Linked DNA regions of Oryctolagus cuniculus. The protein of the gene in region 2 interacts with the protein of the main gene of each other region in a biochemical or structural test. Links are inferred from orthologs where the notes say so. Each region holds a gene or a part of one and is shown on either strand. Other genes may lie near its edges.

Region 1 (4,061 bases), on a different chromosome or scaffold from region 2:
TGGCCTGGAAGAGGGGCAACCGGGACAGAATCCGGCACCCCGACTGGGACTAGAACCCGGTGTGCCGGCGCCGCAAGGCGGAGGATTAGCCTAGTGAGCCATGGCGCCAGCCTTTCGTAAGCTTTTTTCAGTACCACTTGCCTCCTACTCATTTTAAGTATGGGTTTATGCAGCTGGAATACTTCTCCTCTTGTTGTTGAGAATGCAAGACTCGCTTCCTGTTTGTGTCAACAGATGTGTCCACTGACTTACTGGAGAAGGGTGTTTAGGGCTGGCTCTAGAAGCTTGCTCTGGCAAGTGGAAAACGATGGCAGTGATGAACAGAATGCTGGGTTCTCCAGATAGTTACCTAGCAGCTCACCTGTTTGATGATGTATGTTAGCTCCTCAATTTCCACTGCTTTATCATCAAAGAGGGACTTGCGCTTTGCCACTACAGAGATAAACAAGAAGCCACGGTGGGTGAGAACAAAGGCAAGGCTCAGGGGGCTGGCTCCTCTGCCCTCTTTGGTTCATCCCACAACCAGTAAAAGATCCCATGAATACTTACGGATTGTCAGCTTCTCCAGCTTGGCAAATGTGTTGCTGAGGTCTTTCCCGATGCGCCTGCAAATGACCAACAGTGAGAACACCATGGAAGGGGGAGGGAGAGGGCTTATTCTCACACTAGCTCTTAGCACAGCCAATCCCAGCCCTTACAGCCAAGTCACCAAAAGCAAGCTTCCTTCCAGACACTGTATCACCCTGCCACAAAGCTGCTCTCAACTCACTTGGCCATGAGGGTGAATTCACTGCGCTGTCGGACAGCACGCAGGGCCGGCTTATTTGTCTGGATTCCATTCTGAAAAGCAATGTCCGGAGGTGAAAACTTCACTTTCCTCCTCCCCACTTCCAGCTTTCAACGTTTCTCGGGCTCCCCCCAAGCTCTCTCTCGTGCTCCCCCCAAGCTCTCTCCAGTTCTGCTGGCCTAGATTTATCAGCAATAGTGTTCAGAAGCCAGATCTGAAGACGGGCAGGCTTAAGCTCAAGTCTGGACTCTACCACTAATTAGCAGAATTAGCGCAAGTTAAACTCTTCTACATCTGTTTCCTCTCCCTGAAGATGAAGACAATCCACTCACCTCTGATAGTTGCTGCCAAAACTAGATAACATAAAGGCTGTAAAGGATTTTAACCAACCACCTGCGGCACTAAAGAAAGATCCCTCACATCGGCATCAAAGAGGAGAACCCGAAAGCTCTTGGAGACCATAGAGAAGAGAAGTTCGTCAACAAGAGCTGAACAATAAAAATATTTTAAAATACTTACTCAGGTCCCACTTAGTGTCAAAATCTGGGGACTTAAACTAGGGACTCTAATTCTTAAACAAACACTCCAAAATGACTTGGATAAAAACGGCCCATCCGGAAAACTTCCTTCTGCTCCCCCACCGTCTCTCTCTGTTTTACAGACTGAAAATTTTAATTTCCCCAGAGTCGCAGAGCAAACTCACGGCAGGACCACACTGCAAGCACAATTCAAGGTGCGTGCCCCACAGCGGGTGGCTCTTTCTAGGTTTATTCCTTATCCAAAAACCCTGCAGCCCTTTAGGCATTCCATCAATCTGACCCTCCGGGGAACTTCTTCCCAAGCCCACGTGTCCCTGATGGTGGGGAGCAGACCTGCCCGGATGTGGGCGAGGCTCCCACTCTGGGCCTTACCTGACGACTCTGCAGCGACTTGCAGGCGGACAGGAACTCCTGGGTCCGATCCCGGCAGGACATGGTGTCGGGAGGGGAGGGGGCCGGGGCCACTGGGGGGGGCAGAGGGGCGATGTCGCTGCTGCTACTGCCAGCAGTTGCAGGGGACAGGACCTGTGTCTTCGAGAGACCCAGGTAGACGCCCTGATCCGTGTTCTTAGACCCGTAGCGTTTCCGCGGGATCATTGAGACGCATAACCTCTGTCGTGGAGGGGAGAGAGTCATTCCCCAAGCAGTGCAAACGCCTTCCCCACAAACGCCCCTCCAACCAGCAAATCCTGGGCCACCCGCAGACCCCGGGGCCGGCGCGCAGCGGGAAGGGCCCCACCTCCTCCGGGCCCGGGTCGAACCCTCCTCAGACTCTTCCAACTCGGCTCCGGCGGCCAGAGCGCGGGTAGGGGGCCCCGAGGCGGAGCCAGAGCCAGGTCCCGAGGCCCTGAGGCTCCAGCCCGGCCTGTGCAACTGCCCCAGCCCCTAACTGGGCCCCCGCATAGCCGTGGTTGCCTCTGACCCTTCGGGAAGAAACGGTGACGGACCTCCTGCGGGGGGACACACTTCGGTGGGCGGAGAGGGAACCTCTAGGTGTTTATTTGAAACAGGAAGTCCCACCCCTGCCAAAGTCCCGCCTCCTGAAGGACTGCGCCACTCATTAGCTAACGCCGACGTCTTTCTCAACAGAGGCTTTCCTGATTGGACGTCGTGGTATTCGCTCACCCGGAGCCGGGCCGGCAGGACTTGCCCGCTCGTTCCCGGCTCCCTTCCCCCGCCCGTCGCTACCCCGGTGAAGTCGCTGCCCAGGAGCTACACGGCGGCCAGACGCCCTCAGGACGAATCCTACCTCCTGTCTGCCGCCTGCCGCCGCAGCTACTGCCACAGCCTCCCGGACCGTCACCGCCTCCTCCCCGGGCTCTGAAGCCGCCGAAATCCGACCGAAACCTAGGGTCCGCCACGTCACCCACACGTAACCCCACCCCCGTGACGGGAAGGCAGCGCCACGCCTTTTCGAGCCCGGCGACCTGGGAGGCACGCCCCCCGCCCAGACGCAAGCGTGGCTCCCCCCTCCCATTGGCCGGGCCGCCGCCGTAGCCCCGCCCCGGGACGGAGCCTTAAAGAGCCCGCCGCCTCCGGGGCCCCTGAGCCCACAGCCCACGGAGCGGGCTGCAGAGGGTACGAGTCATCTGGCGGGTCCACGTTAGAAATTTTATTCTCTGAGGGCTGCGGCGGACTGACAGCAGGGCTGGGGTCACCCCTTCTCCGGCTCTTCCTGGCTTTCCTCAGGTTTGTCTTCCGGGATGGGACTCTCCCTCTTCTGGATCTGCTCTGACTGCCTCTTGCCGGACCGCGAGGAGCCCCGGCGGCTGAACAGGGATAGCCGCCGCCACAGCACGGTGATCAGAAGGCTTTCGTTCGACTTGCGATTCCGGTGGCCAGGGGAGTCCAAATCGATTCCGTGGGCGCCTGCAGGGACGAGGCCGCTGAAATCACCTCTACCCTCCCCGGCCGGACCTCCGGGGCTCTCCCCCGGGGCAGCGCCTTCCCCAGCCTCCGGGCCCTCACCGCCCCTGGTCCTACCTTCCCCAGCTCCCTCGAACTCTTTGGCCTGCTCATCGGTGGTCGGAAAGTCCTTGTCTTGGCAGCAGCCCATGGCCCCGCACGGCCCCTGACTCCGTACCACCCACGCCAGCCTGCCTGGCTCCAGGCCCGGCTTTTGTGACGTCAGATATCCCACTGCCCCAGCGCAGGGAGCCCCCACAAGCCACCCCTCTCCTCCCATCACAAAAGGCTCAGGGTCATGCGGGTATTGAGCTGTTTATTTACAAAACGGGCACAGGGTCTTCAAGGGCTGGTGGAGCCAGCGCGCTTCTTTTTTCTCCGTCTGCTTTGGAGAGCCCCTTGCGCCGGCTCCGAATCAGGGAGTTTGCGCTTGGCAGCTGCCTCCAAAGATGCCCAAAGTTCATCCGTCTCCCTGTCTTCTGAGGGCAGCTCACCGGGCTCTTGAGGCTCTTGGGGTTCATCCTGGAGAGTGGGAACGAAGTGCAGGGTCAGAGGCACAGTGACAGACCCCGGGAAGGAAGCCCTGCCTGGGAGGCAATTCCCCTGAGCATCAGCACCTTTGTCATTTTCCCAGCAACCACTGCTGTCCAAGCTCCTGGAGATGCCACGCTTGGCAGTCACCCTGTCAGAACTTCAGCTGTTCACACCCCAGGAAAATGTAGTAACTGGGCAGCCCCCTGTGTGTTCCAGCTGCCTCTCTCTGTCCTCGGCTGCCGTGTTCCCAGACCCAGTTACTTACCTCCCAGTTATCCCTGCCTGACAGGAGCAGG
Region 2 (2,443 bases):
GGAACCCAGGTGTCAACCACTAGGTCAGATGCTAGCTCTTCTTAGGACTTTTTGAGGAATGGTGAAATACTGCTATATGTTAAACTGCTTTTCAAATAACCATCCTTGATGAGTAGTGAAACAAATTCTTGTGTTACTAGATATGTGTGTGTCATGTCTGATATTTGATATTCCCACCTTTTTTTTTCCTAGAATGAAATTAAAGCTTTGTCTGAGGAAAGAACTGCTATTAAAGAGCAGTTGGATTCGTCTAACAGCACCATCGCCATTTTACAAAACGAGAAAGACAAACTAGAGTTGGAAATCACTGACTCCAAAAAAGAACAAGACGATCTCTTGGTGCTGCTGGCTGATCAAGATCAGAAAATACTGTCTTTGAAGAATAAACTCAAGGATCTTGGTCATCCAGTAAGATTGGAATGTTGATGTGTATTATGTGTTATGTTATTTTATAATGCCTGCTGTAGAACGTTAGTGCCGCAGGGAGAAGTGGTGCCTGTATTACAGACACGGTTACATGGGCTCATGAAGTGGTGTCTGTCCTCTGTCTTGCTTCCACTGTGTTCAGTGAATTGACCCAAGACACAGATTAGGTTCAGTCTCCAGCACTTGTAGACTGTCTTTTGGATCCTAAACCTGGAAAGTGAATTGATTTGATTGTCCCTGTGATGACAGGACTGTTACACCCAAGTGTGCCAATGTCTTTGGCCATATTCGGTCCGGATTTGTGCAGAGGGTGGGTAGCCATCTGTCAGCAAAGTTAACCAGTAGATCTCATTTGTGTTAAAAACGACAGGGAGACTTGTGCATTAAATCAGGTGGCTTATATTCTGTAATTATTAGAATACGGAATTTATCAACAGTGTGTATTGTTACCTAATGAATGTGAAGTAAACACATCTTAATGTTAAACTTGTATTTTTCCCTTAGGTTGAAGAAGAGGATGAACTTGAATCTGGAGACCAGGAAGATGAGGATGATGAAACGGAAGATGGTGGCAAGGACCAGGATCAGGGCTACCTTTAAAATCCCTAGGGATGGTAGAGATCATATTGTAACTCAGAAGGTAGAATCCTGAGACAGTGCTTTGGTTTGCCTCCACAAGAAAATAAAGGTTTAGAAACCAAGTGGAAAACACTCACTAATAAGGCTATTGATGTATTTTTTAAAGGTTGCCACCCATGTTGAAAACCCTAAAACTCTTAGCTTTATGCAGAACACACATCTTATATTTAAATTCATCTGAACTATCCAAAAATATGATTTGCATAGAATTTCAGACACCAAAAATATACCATTTGAAGGCATGTGGTGGCAGTGCTATTTGCCTTAGTTCATTGGATGTTTTCTTTTCAGAACCTATGACTATGTACTAACACATTTTGATTTAATATATATTGAATGGGAATCATTTCTAAATGCAACCTTTGAGTTCTTAGCTGATGATGGTTTCCTTTTAAAGAAATGCTTTTACATAAAGGCAGGTTAGCGTGGGCTGGGGGTAATGCAGATCCCCGCCATCCGTCGGAGCAGGGGAGGCCAGTGCAGCACAGGGGTTCTTCCAGCTGGCGGCGTCCTGTAGCCGGTGAGGAAACGGAAGGGTGCTGGCGCAGCGGCACAGCGATGTGAAGGGTGCTTCCGAGAAGCTCTGGCGACAGTGTGTTAACACATTTGGTTTCTTTTTATTTTAAGCTAAACATCAAAAGCAAAATTACAAGTTAACAGCTCACACAGCTCAGATTTAGCACTGTTACTTGATTATCATCAAACATATTATGTTCCTAGTTTTAAAAAGACCCAAACTATGATTTATATAATTTATTGGCATTTGTGCTGAATAGGTTTAAGTCAGATAATAGATTTTTAAAAAGCAAATGAAGCAGTGTGTCAAAATTTAATGTTTTCGTAATAAAAATAGATAATATGTTCACTTAATCCCTGGTCATGGTTCCCTTTTTTTAGATTTTGAAAGAAGTATTTGATTGCTAATGGACGGTGAGGCAAGTGGGAATAGTGAGGGGAATTCTCTTACCCTGAATACTTTATTGTAACTTGTCACGTAGCGGCTCATCATTAGAACTGGTGCTTGAGGGAGCTTGTGGAGCCACTGTGGAAATGCAGGAGGTTGGAGAGGGCTTGGGTGTTTCTAAATTCAGAGTTGGTGTTCTTAGCAATACTTTGCTAAAATGCGTTTACGTCAAGGCAGGGCAGCCTGGGCTGTGGGGGTTAATGCGTAAAATCTGCCTCTTGGGTCCAGGAGTAGTTTGAGCAGTCCACTGTGAGGCCGAGGCTTTTGCAAGAGGAGTGGTGTTCACACCTGAGAGAGGCAGGTGGCCGCCTGTGACAGCATCTGTGAGTACTGCACGGAGTCCCCTGCCACTGCCGCTGCCATCCTGAGACAGTGTTTGCCGTCAGAGAACTACGTGACTGGCACTGGACAAGC

What was found.
Region 1: the proteins of USO1 (region 2) and STX5 form a complex in vitro, tested with the Homo sapiens proteins (2 studies listed by BioGRID). The link is inferred for Oryctolagus cuniculus from reciprocal best matches to the Homo sapiens genes USO1 and STX5.

Annotation. Positions count from the first base shown.
Region 1 is NC_091432.1:8,759,458-8,763,518, reverse strand, and holds the start of STX5 (syntaxin-5), read right to left. Parts: upstream 2,808-4,061; 5' UTR 2,804-2,807; coding exon 2,576-2,803; intron 2,350-2,575; exon of another isoform or gene 2,066-2,349; intron 1,939-2,065; coding exon 1,699-1,938; intron 841-1,698; coding exon 770-840; intron 606-769; coding exon 550-605; intron 433-549; coding exon 362-432; intron 1-361. Other genes in the region: TEX54 (testis-expressed protein 54), read right to left, coding at 2,981-3,195, 3,310-3,382; WDR74 (WD repeat-containing protein 74), read right to left, coding at 3,574-3,753, 4,031-4,061. UniProt on the Homo sapiens protein: Mediates endoplasmic reticulum to Golgi transport.
Region 2 is NC_091439.1:90,095,870-90,098,312, reverse strand, and holds the end of USO1 (general vesicular transport factor p115), read left to right. Parts: intron 1-192; coding exon 193-408; intron 409-930; coding exon 931-1,026; 3' UTR 1,027-1,935; downstream 1,936-2,443. UniProt on the Homo sapiens protein: General vesicular transport factor required for intercisternal transport in the Golgi stack; it is required for transcytotic fusion and/or subsequent binding of the vesicles to the target membrane.